Linked DNA regions of Pelodiscus sinensis. The protein of the gene in region 1 purifies or fractionates together with the protein of each later gene. This does not show direct contact. Links are inferred from orthologs where the notes say so. Each region holds a gene or a part of one and is shown on either strand. Other genes may lie near its edges.

Region 1 (7,538 bases):
TTTGAAATGCCACAAGGAGCATGACCCAGGCTCCTCGTCATGTTTCAAAGCGGCAGTGCCGCATAGAGCCCAGGGTCAGCAGGGGAGTCCCCAGCTGACCCCAAGCTCTCCACAGGGCTTTTGCCTTTGAAGTGGGGCTGCTTCTATACTTCAAAGGCAGAAGCACCCTTATGGACCCCCCATTCGAAGTTAATCAATCAACATTTAACCCTAGTCATGGTGCTATCGTTGCAGTATGGCCGAAGAGGACCTTTACATAAGGCCTCCTTTTAGAGGAGTTATAAATAGAAATCATTTGGGCTTAAGTTTCTCAGGCTTGTTCAAAGAAACCCAAAAAAACATTTTCTGAGAGGAAGAAAAAAGAATGGTGGTGAGGCTTCCGGGATGAAACCTAGTTTAAGAGAATTTCAGCTATTTGAATAATCTGATCAGACATTTTGTATGCGTTTTAGCAAACATGAACAGATGCATATGAACTTTTAAAATGTTACCTATAGTCAATGGGAATGTCAGTATTCCCAAGTTTTGAAAAAGGATTGATTAGTTGTAAAACAAAAATAGTATAGTGGATTTTATATATTAAGCTACATAATCACAATTTAATGCTTATTTACTTGAAGGCAAGTAAGCCTTTTTTAAAAATTGAAGTAAAATACAAACAGCTATATTCATGACACAGGGCTCTAACAAAACTCAGTTATATATAGCAACTGACTGCAATCTCTCAAACACAAAAGGGAGGAACACATGAAGTAGGAACAACAGTTGTTAGGATGTTTAACTAGCATCAAATGATTTAAAGCTAGAAAATACCTGCCCAAACAAATTAAAATCAAGAAATTCAAGAGGATTTTTATGTAAAATTTCACTGTAAAAGCTTTTGCATCAATTAAATGCCACATTAGTTACTACTGCTAATTTGTAGTTCTAAGTACAGTGACAGACATCCTGTGAGTATCTTGTTAGTGAGTCCTTTAAAGTCCTATTTATGTAGCATTTAAAGGTGGCAGCTGTCACATTCCCAACCAACTTAAAAAAAAAAATCTCAAGTCATATATAGTATACTAGAAGATTTACCCAATGTTAATTGAGTCCTTAAGTCAATTTTTGTTTTTTCTTCATTTAAATCACTGCTCTGGGTGGGCTGGGAACGAGGCAGTCAGTATGCAGACTGCCCTGGCTGTGTGTGTGTGTGTGTATGGGGGGGGGGGGGGGAGAGGAAGTGCAGCAGCTTGGGGGTCAGATGAAAAGCACCTCTTCATGACTGCTCCAGCGGGCACAGCCAGAAGAGGGGTATATATCCAGTTGGCTAGGGCAGGTCCAGGTTAGTCTGCCCCCCTGTACTCCACAGCCAGAGTGAACAATGCAGCAAACTGTGCACTTTCCCCACTCCCTGAGGAAGGGGAATAGCCAGCAATATTCCTGTGCAAGTTTGGGGGGGGGGGGGTTAACCCCCCCTGCCCTCTCTAAAGGGTATCTGGGGTGGCTGGGGCTTGGGCAGTTTGGGGGAGGGGGGAGAAGAGTGCAGGTCCCTTTCACTTTCCCGGTGATTTTGTCTTTTCTGAATGTTTTCTGAGAAACAATCCCATTGCAGACACATCCAAACCTTTATTTATTTATATATATATATAAACTGTTTAGGTGTATATATATTTTACACCTAAACAGTAGCACAAAGAGGAAAAACCAAGACACAATATGCTCTCTCTGTACATATATATTTGGCACAATCCCAAATCAAATCCACTAGATTTGTAAATCTTAATTTCTGTAGGGATAACGATGATACTTTCTCCTGGCCTTTCATTATCCAATATGTTCAAAAAACCTTACAAGGGAAAAAAAAAGATGAAAGTCATTTCTCTAATATCTGGTTCAGCAGAATCCTAGGTTACTTTGCGCTAAATGGGAGGGAAAAAAAATCCTGAACAAGCTCTTCCAGGGTAAATTCAGATGAGACATCGGAGTACATAGAAGGTCCTGAGACAAGCTGGATAAACCCTATTCTTATTTAATTTTGCTACCTGCTCCAAGGAGAATGTCATTGGCTATTTGCAAAGATCAATAAAACTATTTTAACCTGATTCCGTCCAAACAGAAAAACAATAAAACCCCATGACAAAAGACTAGACACTGAGTGCACCTACCTATCCTCTCCCACTCCAAAGCATTACAGATAGACAATAAGACAAATCTTTTCCATAAGCTTAGAAGGACCTTATCCTCAGAGCAAAACCACCCCCTTCCACTTAAAAAAAAAAAAAGTCAAAAACGAGTGTGGATGAACTAAAACTCCTATTCTTACACCCACCGAGACCTGCATTCCCACAGATAACGAGTTACTCTGGCTCAATTACAGACGAGACCCACCTGAAGGGCCAAAAAGCAGGACACTTCCCCCTCCCCCCCATCTTTCTAAAGCCTCCCACAACATGCTCGGCCTCTGACCTTTCGAGGAGTTGCATTTCCACGCACAGCCAAGCGTCCCTTCACTCGGCACGTGCGCGGCAGGGAGCGGGAGACAGGACCCTGGACAAGTAGCTGCCTCACCCCCCCCCCAATCGCCCTACGGTTGCCACGCGCGGGTGGGGGGGGACCCGCTGCAGGCAGCAGCTCCAGCCGAGGCAGCGGCGTTGCAGCCCGGCAGGCGCGGTGCGGGGAACCTCCACGCAGGCGAAGGGCCGGTCACCGGGGCACGGCAAAGCCCCGCGGACGCTGCTCGAGGGGGGCCGAGCAGCGGGCTCAGGCCACAGGCCCCCTCCCCGCCCGGGCCGCCCCCCCCGGCATCCCCGCGAGCCTCCCTCTGCAGCCGAGCGCTTCCCTCCTGGAACCGCCCCCCCCCCCGGGCCCGCCCGCTTCCTCACCCTCCAGCAGCCGTTGGATGATGCTGTCGATGTTGAGCTTGTCAATGTCCGCCATGGCCTCCCAGCGGCACCGCAGCGCCCGCACCCGAATCTCCCGCCTCTGGCCGGCCCCTCGCAGCAGACACCCGAAGCCGAACAAAATGGCCGCCGTCCCTTCTCAAGAAGCTCGGCCGGCGCACGAATACTTAATGGTCGCCGCGCGGCGGCCGGAACCTTTGCTAGGAAGAGCGGGTTCGCTTCACCCAGCGTCTAGCACTCACGAGATCCTTCCGCCGGGAGGGGGCGGGAGCGGGAGCAGGGGAATAGCTTGGAAGCCGGCAGGTGCGCGCGCCGTTGCAAAGCGATGGAGTGTTCGAGGGGGCCGGCCGCAGGTTCCCTCCACGTGCGCCTTGGCCCCAGTCAGTCAGAGCAAGCCCAGTATCCCCCCTGCGTGAGCAGTACAATCGAGAATAAGGGACAACCCATAACTATAACAATCCATGAAACAGGACTGTGCAGCACTTTAAAGACTAATAAGATGGTTTATTAGGTGATGAGCTTTTGTGAGCCAGACTCACTTCTAGTATTTGCACCATCTGTCCAGTAGAAAAAAAATCAGAAAATACCAGAGTTGTGCAATGTCCAGTATTTTGTGAATTTCCGGCTGGGTGCGGGAGGGAAGCCTGGCAGGGGCGGGGGGAGTGACTGAGAGGCGGTGCACAATTGGCTTTGGGAGCCCTGTGGTCACGCCCCCCCTCCCAGCTATTGCACAGGACCAGAGGCTTCAAGTGCCAATTGTGGCCGTCTCCAAACTGGGAGCTTCTGGTCTGCCTGCCGGGGGCACAGCCAGAAGGAGTCTGGCTGCGGCCAGTGGCTGCACCCACCCTCGCCAGGTCTTTGCTTCCTGCCCCCCCCTTCCTCCGTCCCCCACTCCTCCTGTCCAGCCCCACAGCCCCCAATCCTCCCCAGCTCTGCTTACCACCCCCTCTTCCTGCTGGCCAGCCCCACGGCCCCCGGACACCACCCCCTGCCAGCACTGCTTCCCGCCCCCCTTCCTCCGCCCCCCCATCCTCTCCTTCAACCCCACAGCCCCCTATCCCCCCCCAGCTCTGCTTCCTGCCCCCCTTCCATCCAGCCCCGCCCCCTTCCCCTCCCTCCCTGGTGCGCTCAGCTGGGAGCTGTGCCCTGGTGGGGGAGCAAGTGGCGGTAAGCGGCCGTTTGGGGTCTGTGCTCCCCACGGAGTTCCCCATGAGAGCACGGACCCCAAACGGCTGCTTGCTGCCGCTTGCTCCCCTGCCGGGACCCAGCTGAGTGGCGCAGCGCGCCACGGAGGGAGGGAAAGGGGGGCAGGGTGCTGACATACACGGCCAGGGAGCGTGGCTGTGTACGTCAGCGTTACAGACGCACAGACACTGGGCTACTATATATATGATGGCCAAGCCATCAGAGTCTTCTGTTGTTAAGGATCGCTATGAGACTGGATATGCCAAGTCTTGATAGGTCATCTACATCTGAAACTTTGTCTTGCCACTTAATATTCATGATTCCGCAAAGGCAGCAAAGGTGGAAACTAATCAATTTTTTCTCTTGGCACGAGTAGGTAGCCCAGGTCTCAGATCCATAAAGCAAGAAGCTTGATACTCACGCATGATATATCAGTATATTTGTTTTCAATGTCAGTTTGGGATTGTTCCATGCTCGTTTCGTAAGTCACTTTTACTCTATAATGTACTGATTTCATAGCAGAGACCAGATTTTCTCAAATTGAGAGTCTAGACCAGGCATGTCCAAAGTCCGGCCCGCGGGCCAATTGCGGCCCGTGTTCCGGTTTCATACGGCCCCACAGGTAATTTGGCAATATCTATCTTTTATGGCCCCCAACGAATCCATATGTATTGAGATGAATACATTGTAAAATCTCAGTTAATGTCAGTTGGTCTAAATCAGTTATAAATATATTTGGACACAACATGTATACTTGGTGTTATGTTTCTGATCATATTTTTTGAACTTAAAAGTTGACAGACAACCTTTATTACCAATAATATGTAATATACTTTACAATGTTCCTGACATATATTTCAGCTTCCTGGATTTTTTTTCATCTGGCCTTCAGATATGAAAGCCAGAGTGATTTAACACCTGTTTAGATTTGTCATCCATGTAACGAAATGAAAAGTATGCCGTTTGCAATAAACTTTGCATAAAATAGTTAATTTGCATTTAATTTTAATGGTTCAAAGAATGTCAGGCAAAATGGTCGGCCCTCACGCTTGTTCACTTCATCAAATCTGGCCCTCTTTGAAAAAAGTTTGGGCACCCCTGGTCTAGACCCAAAAGCCACTATGGGCTTTCAAGGTTATTTTAGAGGGGATCATGGTATTGCCACCATTACTTCTGTGCTGCCTTCACAGCTGGGTAGGTGACCAGAGAATGGCAGCTGTGAGCTGGGTGTCCAGCTCTGAAGGCAGCATCCTGTCATACAGAGGCAACTGGAGAGGGAAGACCTGAGGAGCCACTGGTCATGTGACATCCACCCAGCCCAGGAAAGGGCCAGTACAGCCCCTCTCCATCTCAGGTCCTGCCTCTTCCTGCCCTTGCTCCACCTCTCTCCTGATATCTTCCTGCATCTGATGCAGCCTAGGGGACGAGCAGGGCTGGGGGACCGAGGGGGAAGCAGAACAACACAGCCTCAGCTCATTTTGCTCCCCTGGCCATGTCGTGCCACTTCTCACAGGTGAAAGCAGGGGTGATCTGCCCACTGTTCCTGGAGTGGTGCATCAAGAGACCTCAGAGAGCAGAGGCCGCTTTGTTCTGCTTTCCCCACTGGTGCTGGCAAATGTGTGTGGAGCTGGACCCCTGCTGTGGGCACCAGGATCCTTGCTAATCTCCCTGCCCCTCCCACTCACAGCAGCCGTGCAGAAGTAAGGGTAGCAGTACTGCAATTTCTCCTACAAAAATCTTATGACCCTCCACCCCATAACTCCTTTTAGGTTCAAGACCCCTACAATTAGAATACCATGAAATTTCATGTTTAAATAGCTGAAATCATGACATTTACTATTTAAAAAAATCCTATGGCCATGAAATTGGCCAAAATAAACCACCAATTTTGGTAGGGCCCTAGCCATGAGGCTTCCATGACACAATTGGTGCTTCTGTTCCTCCATTAGTAAAATGGGTTAAATCACACTGAACTATGTCAGTTTTGCCTGTTTGGTTTTCCCTTTAATATTTACATACCCTCTGCTCTTGTTTCCCGCCCCTTCCACTTTTTTCCCTTCTCCCTTCTTCCCTATTTATTTTGGGTCTGTACATTCTAAACTCAAAACTCCGGTCATCTGAAGAAGTAGGCTGTGCCCACAAAAGCTCATGATGCCATCTTCATGTTTTGTTAGTCTATAAAGTGCTACCAGACCATTTGTTGTTTTTTTAAGTTTTTGTCTCGGGTGATCTGAAACTTAATTCAATAATGGCCCTAATGATGCCAACACTTCTGCAAAGGTGTAAATGTGCAGGAGAGTCTCCCTGTGCCTGTAGGTATTTGCAGGATTTTTGTGAAATGCTTTGAAATTACTGGAGGAAGACATAAAAAAACATTTAAATTTGTATTAAAATACTATATTAATATTTAAAGTTATTTTATTCTATGTGTAGTAGAAACACATTTTAGGCAAAGTCCAAATCAAATCAGCAGAGTTTCTAACAAATTAAATTGCATTTGCAGTGAGATGTAGTGACCTTTACTAGGATTGCTCATTGCTTTGCAGCTATGATTGAATATTGTTTAATGGGTTTATTTACTCTGAGTTTAATTTGCAGGGATGGCTGTGCCAACCCAGTTCCCTCCTCCCCTCTCCAAAATACATTGCTTCCACTGTGCATGCTGGATTCTTCACACAGCAGTTATGTAATAATCATAACAACTCATTATTGTGGTTGGGCCGGAGCAGAGTTCAGGCTGATCATGGTGATGAAGCAAGAAATATGCAATATCAGCACATTTTAGAGCCAACAATGAAGAAGCAGTTGAGAGGAAATAGATAGTAGTGGTCATAGGTAACTACAGGTATTCATTGGTTACCAAATGCACCTTCAAAATTAAGCTCTGGAGTGAATGTTTATCATAATATAGGGATGGGATACCTCCAGTCTGTGGGCCAGATCTGGGTCCCTGCTTAATCTGATCTGGCCCATGGCAAGTCTTTGTTTCATGGTCTGGAAGTTCTGAATTTCAGCTCCCCTCCTCCCCCACTCATTGGGCTGGAATTGTGAGCACCACTGTGGAGGGGAACTAAGGTGCCAGGTTGGTTGGAAGGCCCTGAGGCCTACTGGCAGATGACCATGGAAACTATGAGTCCGCATGCATCTGCTCCAGCAGCTCTCATTGACTGGCAATGCCGGCCAATGGGAGCTGTGGGCGTGGTGCCTATGGAAAGGGGCAGTGCACACTGCACAAAGCCACCTGGCCATAGCTTGGCAGCTTCTGAGCACATTGTTGGGCCGTGGCAAGGAGGAGCATTCTTGGAAATAAGGGAGTCACCTGAAGTAAGCGACATACATCCAGCCAGAGCCTTCACCTCTCTCACCCTCCCTCACCACCACCCCCTTCCAGAACCTGGACACTCACTCCAAACCCTCTGTCCCAGCCATCAGTTCTCTCCTGCACTCTAACCCCTTGTCCCAGTCTTGAGC
Region 2 (7,077 bases), on another chromosome or scaffold:
CACCTCCTGTTCATAATCTGTTCTGTTCATGACAACTACAGTGCCCCCTTTGTCAGCCTCTTTGATTATGATGTTAGAATTGTTTGAGGCTGCGTATAGCATTGTGTTCTGCATGACTGAGGCTGTATGTTATAGTCAGCAAACAACAGCATGTGTCAGCAGTTTGAGCACGTTTGTGGAAGCAGTTGTTGTAGAAGTCAAGACTCTCATTACAACCGTTAGTAGGGGTCCACACAGAAGCCTTCCTCTTGTAGGATTGGCAGGGGAGAGCAGAAAGGTCAGTGTATTGTACATCAGTGTGTTGGAAATATTCCTTTAGGTGGAGGCAGTGAAAATAGACTTCCTGATCTCCACAGAACTGAATTATATTTGTAGGGGTGATGGGGCAGAAAGAGAGTCCTCAAGATAGCCCCGTGGAGGAATCTGTCCTAAGAGAGAGGTTGGATACGTTGACAATATTGCTAGGTGAACTGAAAGTATCTGGAATGAGAGATCTTGAAGCATGTAGGAGTTTGGATAGTTTATTGTCCTTTTTATTCCAAAGGGAGATGAAGTGATCCTTGTACGTGGTTTACTGAATTTTAGTAAAGTCTGGAAAACATGAAGTCTGTATGGAAGCTTGGTTTTCTAGGATAGTTTCTAATGTTGAGAGCTCCTCCTTGATTTTCTTCTGTCTGTTGAATAAAATGCTGATAAGGTGGTTCCTGAATTTCTTTGCAAGAGTGTGGCATAATCGCTAACTGTAGTCTGTGGGATATGTAGATTGCAGTGGGTTTTTCACCCTCAGTCCCTTAGGTACGATGTTCATCTGTTTGCACTTGGAAAGAAAGATGATGTCTGTTTGGATCTGTGAGAGTTTTTGTGTAGTTGATATATTTCCACTCGGTATGGCAGAATGCAGTACATTGCATGTTCAACCAAGTGGGTTGCCCCCACAAAAGCTCATACCATCTACATGTTTTGTTAATCTTTAAGGATATGTCTACACTTGCTCCCTAGTCCGAACTAGGGATGCAAATGTAGCATACCAAAGTTGCTAATGAAGCACGGGATTATCATATTCGCGTCCGGTAGCCATTTTAAAAATCCACTAGTCCGAATTAACTCACCATGTGTAGATGCGGTATTCTGAAGGAAACCCCTTCTTTCAGATTAACTGTTACTCCTTGTGCAATCTGAGGGAAAGGGTTTCCTTCGGAATACCGCATCTACACGCGGCGAGTTAATTTGGACTAGTGGATTTTTAAATTGGTGACCGAACGCGAATATGCCAATCAAGCGCAGGATATTTAAATCCCGCACTTCATTATTAACTTTGGTATGCTACATTTGCATCCCTAGTTCGGACTAGGGAGCAAGTGTAGAAATATCCTAAGGTATTACTAGTCTATTTGTTGTTTAAATTTTTCCTGTTACAGACTAACTCCGCTCCTCCTCTGAAACTTTTAAGATTCCAGTATTTCAATAACTCATATTCCCACTTACATCACCTTACCAATCACAAGTAAGATGTGCCACGGCCTGGCTAGGATTATGTTGTTATCCTGCCAAAGGTCAGGAACACCCCAAGTCTGCAAATGGGGATCGGGCCTAACCGATTCCAAATATTACCCTGTCCTAGAGTGACTGGAGATTCCCCCATCTGGAGATAAGCCAACATTAGGCTCAAACAAAATACAGGACTATGTAGCACTTTAAAGACTAACAAAATGGTTTATTAGATGATGAGCTTTCGTCTGGCCCACAAAAGCTCATCATCGAATAAACCATCTTGGGTGTGTCTAGACTACATGCCTCCTTCGACGGAGGCATGTAGATTAGCCAGATCGGAAGAGGGAAATGAAGCCGCGATTAAAATAATCGCGGCTTCATTTAAATTTAAATGGCTGCCCCGATCTGCCGATCAGCTGTTTGTCGGCAGATCGGGGGAGTCTGGACGCGATGCCCCGACAAAGAAGCCTTTCTTCATCGACACAGGTAAGCCTCGTGAAACCAGGCTTACCTGTGTCGATGAAGAAAGGCTTCTTTGTCGGGGCATCGCGTCCAGACTCCCCCGATCTGCCGACAAACAGCTGATCGGCAGATCGGGGCAGCCATTTAAATTTAAATGAAGCCGCGATTATTTTAATCGCGGCTTCATTTCCCTCTTCCGATCTGGCTAATCTACATGCCTCCGTCGAAGGAGGCATGTAGTCTAGACACACCCCTTGTTAGTCTTTGAAGTGCTACATAGTCCTGTATTTTGTTTCAGCTACATCACACTAACACGGCTACATCTCTATCACCATTAGGCTCAAGAGAGAAAATCACATCCTCAGGGCGCCCTCCCCTCCCGCTGTGGCAGCAGCTCGTCAATCAGGCGGGTTCCAGGGTGGCAGCCGCTCCCTACCTGGGCCTGGATGTAGAGGGAGACGCAGTCCCGGGAGAGGCGGTGGCGCTCCAGCAGCCGAGTGCACTTCAGCAGGTGCTCCTCGCCCGCAGAGAGCTCCTCGGTCTCGGTGTGGTTCACCCCCAGCTCGTACTCCACCACCGCCCGGCGCATGGCCCGCAGCGCCGCCGCCTCTCCCGCACGGGCGCCCTCGGCCGACTCCTCCGAGCCCAGCAGCTGCCGGATCTCCTCCAGCAGCTCCCGGGCGGCGTACTTGGAGCGATAGGGCTCGTTCTCCGGGTCCTTCTTGGACTCCACGCTGGAGAGGCTCAGCGAGCTGCGGAACTTCTCACAGAGCGAGGCCCAGCCGGCGGGGGCCGCCATCTTCCCGCCGCTCCCAGCGCAGACCGCAACTGCCACTCTCGCGCGCCGGCGCGGACACGTGACTGTCTCTCGCTGGGCAATCAGGGACGCTCACGGTGTCCGGTCTGACCTGTCACGGCGCGCGGCTAGTACCACGCCCCGCCCCCACTAGGAGGCGGCGCACGTTATCCGAGCTCCCCTCCCCCTAGCCGCGGAGCATGAGTCAGCGCCCGACCGCCACCCGCCTGAGGGGCAGCCTAGACCTGCATATGGTGATGACAATGCGCCGGCTCGTCACACTGCCACAACGGCAGCTCTGCGTAACGCACGCCCTCCCCGCACGAAGTGCGCTGCCTCACTTTCCCGCCTGCGACCCCTTTGAAGCTGGCTGAGCTGCCTTGGGTACCCCACGAAAAACCTAATTCCCGGCCAATGGGAGCAGCGGGGCAAGACTCCTCCCCCGCACTCCAACCTGGGCGGCGGGGGGTGGAGCGCTGGTGACGGCTCCCCACTGCGGAGGTGAGCCCCACGGCCCCCTGCAAGATGGGTTAGCAGACCACACCTTGAGACCCACTGCCCTAAGGAATCATTTTGTCATTTGCAGCTTAGCACTGAATGTCTCCACTTACTGCCAACAGAAGGCTCTGGTAGCCGCTAGGTCCGTGTTTCTTAAACTTTTTAAGACCAGCAGTTTTGTCCGATGCCGTGGTGAGCTGCACCCCTGACTCCTCAGTCTCTGGAGAGTGCACTCTTGCAAGTGAGAAGTGTTGTGCCTTCACTCCTCCCAGGGTGAAATCCCATAATACTCCCCCTAACAGGACAGGAAATTCATCCACCCTATGAATGGCAGGTAGGTTTCTAGGGGAACCTGGTTGGTTTTCTGTCAGCTCACCTGTCAGGCTGCTGGAGAGCCTGGGTTTCCAGAGGAATAAGTTGGGGGCAGCCAGCTACTCCATGTGGTTTTTGGAGGGAGCGTGGTGGTAGGGAGTTGAACTGATAAAAGAAAGTTCTTCTTTACACAGCGTGTAGTCAACCTGTGGAACTCCTTGCCAGAGGAGGCTGTGAAGGCTAGGACTATAACAGAGTTTAAAGAGAAGCTAGATAATTTCATGGAGGTTAGGTCCATAAAGGGCTATTAGCCAGGGGATAAAATGGTGTCCTTGGCCTCTGTTTGTCAGAGGCTGGAGAGAGATGGCAGAAGACAAATCGCTTGATCGTGTCTTCGGTCCACCCTCTCTGGGGCACGTGGTGCTGGCCACTGTCAGCAGACAGGATACTGGGCTAGAAGGACCTTTGGTCTGACCCAGTACGGCCGTTCTTATGTTCTTATGTAACTGGAACAGTACGATCTTCCCAAAATGAAAAATTTTGGAGTTTCCTTTTTGAGAGAAATGTGTTTTCATTTTCTTGCCTGCAGGCCACCTCCCCTGCCCCAAGCTAAGGACATTGTCCCAACATTTCCTGACATAATGCATTACTGGCTTATCCAATGCCAGTGTCTCAGACACTGCTTGTGTCTGCCTGCCAGCACTGCCCTGCTGCAAACCCAAGAACCTTGCTGAAAAATTTGGGTCTTGTCTATAAGGCTGTGTCTACATTGGCACCCTTTTCCGGAAATGCTTAAAACGGAACAGTTTTCCGTTATAAGTATTTCCGGGAAAAGAGCGTCTACATTGGCAGGATGCTTTTCCGGAAAAGCACTTTTTCCGGAAAAGCGTCCGTGGCAAATGTAGACGCGCTTTTCCGGAAAAAAGCCCCGATCGTCATTTTCGCAATCTGGGCTTTTTTGCGGAAAAGACTACTGTGCTGTCTACATTGGCCCTTTTCCGGAATAGTTTTTCTGGAAAAGGACTTTTGCCCGAACGGGAGCAGCATAGTTTTTCCAGAAAATCACTGACAATTTTACAGTAGATCGTCATTGCTTTTCCGGAAAAGCAAGCGGCCAGTGTAGACAGCTTTCAAGTTATTCCAGAAAAGCGGCTGCTTTTCCGGAATAAGTGGCCCAGTGTGTAGACAGCCTAAGACTTTGGACATAGTGTGCTAGAGACAACTACACCCACCTATAGGCATCGCTCATGCCTCTGGCTGGAAGACTGGGGCCATGTGCCAGGTTAGCACTGTATGGGCTGCATCTGAAGTGGGGACATCTTTTAGACACTCTTTCACCCTATCTGAGAAATGGAGGCTCACAGAAAAGCAACAAAGAATCATAGAATCATAGAATACTAGGACTGGAAAGGACCTTGAGGGGTCATCGAGTCCAGTCCCCTGCCCTCATGGCAGGACCAAGTACTGTCTAGAAGACCATCCCTGATAGACATTTATCTAACCTACTCTTAAATATCTCCAGAGATGGAGATTCCACAACCTCCCTGGGCAATTTATTCCAGTGTTTGACCACCCTGACAGTTAGGAACTTTTTCCTAATGTCCAAGCTAAACTTCCCTTGCTGCAGTTTAAGCCCATTGTTTCTTGTTTTATCCTCAGAGGCCAAGATGAACAAGTTTTCTCCTTCCTCCTTATGACACCCTTTTAGATACCTGAAATCTGCTATCATATTCCCCCCTCAATCTTCTCTTTTCTAAACTAAACAAATCCAAATTTTTCAGCCTTCCTTCACAGGTCATGTTCACTAGACCTTTAATGATTCTTGTTGCTCTTCCCTGGACCCTCTCCAATTTCTCCATATCTTTCTTGAAATGCGGTGCCCAGAACTGGACACAGTACTCCAACTGAAGCCTAACTAGTGCAGAGTGGAGTGAAAGAATGACTTCTCGTGTCTTGCTCACAACACACCTGTTAATGCATCCCAGAATCATGTTTGCTTTTTTTGCAACAGCATCACACTGCTGACTCATATTCAGCTTGTGGGTCCACTATAACCCCTAGATCCCTTTCTGCAGTACTCCTTTCTGGACAGTCGCTTCCCATTCTGTATGTGTGAAACTGATTGTTCCTTCCTAAGTGGAGCACTTTGCATTTGTCTTTATTAAACTTCATCCTGTTTACCTCAGACCATTTCTCCAATTTGTCCAGATCATTTTGAATTATAACTCTATCCTCCAGATTAGTCGCAACCCCTCACAGGTTGGTATCATCTGCAAACTTAATAAGCGTACTTTTTATGACAATATCTAAATCATTGATGAAGATATTGAAGAGAGCCGGTCCCAAAACAGACCCCTGCGTAACCCCACTTGTTATACCTTTCCAGCAGGATTGTGAACCATTAATAACTACTCTCTGGCTGCGTCTAGACTGACATGATTTTGCGGAAATACTTTTAACGGAAAAGTTTTTCCGTTAAAAGTGTTTCCACAAAAGAGCATTTAGGTTGGCACGGATGCTTTTGTGCAAAAAGTGCTTTTGCGCAAAAGCGTCCGTGCCCAGTATAGACGCGCTTTTGTGCAAGAATGCTCCGGTGGCCATTTTAGCCATCGGGCTTTCTTGCGCAAAAAATGAAGATGCCTGTCTACACTGGCCCTCTTGCGCAATTATTCTTGCACAAGAGGGCTTATCCCTGAGCGGGAGCGTCAAAGTATTTGTGCCAGAAGCACTGAATTCTAACATTAGAACCTCAGTGCTCTTGTGCAAATTCTCGCGGCCAGTGTAGACAGGTGGCAAGTTTTTGCACAAAAGCGAATGCGTTTGCACAAAATCTTGCCAGTCAAGACGCACCCTCTGAGTATGGTTATCCAGCCAGTTATGCACCCACCTTATAGTAGCCTCATCTAAGTTGCATTTGCCTAGTTTGATAAGAATATCATGTGAGACCATATCAAATGCCTTACTAAAGTCTAGGTATACCACATCCACTGCTTCTCCCTTATCCACAAGATTCGTTATCCTATCAAAGAAAGCTATCAGATTGGTTTGACATGATTTGTTCTTGTTTTTTCCTCTTTGATTTACATAGAAGTTATGTTGTCAGTAGGACACGTGTGTGTGTTCCTTTGACCAGTGAGAGAAAATGGACCCAGGTATTCTTGACCACCCTGATCTCAAGTTGATTTGGAGGGATAACTGTGAATTACCATTTGCCATGTGTCGTAAGGTCATTTACATGTACACCCCACTGGTAAGTGATGTTAGTGGTGAGAAGTAACAACAGAAAAGTTTATAAAAAGTTGGCAAACATTTGCTGGATTTTGCCACCAGTTTAGGGAGTTTTAAACCATCATGGGCAGTGACACAGATTTGTCTAGTGTCTCTGTGTTTGGTCTCCATACCACATTTCACCTCTGCGCTGGCTGTCATATGCCCCAAGAATTGGAGGCAGGGTCTATCTGATATACGGGGACTCTTGTACTGTCTGTATTAGCACGACCAATGAAAGGAACCTGTGG

What was found. The genes of interacting proteins can lie anywhere in the genome.
Region 2: the proteins of PPP1CC (region 1) and KIFBP purify together in Homo sapiens (affinity purification with mass spectrometry; 3 studies listed by BioGRID and IntAct, counting the BioPlex papers as one, with this or other methods). This does not show direct contact. The link is inferred for Pelodiscus sinensis from reciprocal best matches to the Homo sapiens genes PPP1CC and KIFBP.

Annotation. Positions count from the first base shown.
Region 1 is NC_134725.1:34,180,758-34,188,295, forward strand, and holds the start of PPP1CC (serine/threonine-protein phosphatase PP1-gamma catalytic subunit), read right to left. Parts: upstream 3,049-7,538; 5' UTR 2,920-3,048; coding exon 2,865-2,919; intron 1-2,864. UniProt on the Homo sapiens protein: Protein phosphatase that associates with over 200 regulatory proteins to form highly specific holoenzymes which dephosphorylate hundreds of biological targets.
Region 2 is NC_134718.1:28,668,106-28,675,182, reverse strand, and holds the start of KIFBP (KIF-binding protein), read right to left. Parts: upstream 3,067-7,077; 5' UTR 2,753-3,066; coding exon 2,390-2,752; intron 1-2,389. UniProt on the Homo sapiens protein: Activator of KIF1B plus-end-directed microtubule motor activity. Required for organization of axonal microtubules, and axonal outgrowth and maintenance during peripheral and central nervous system development.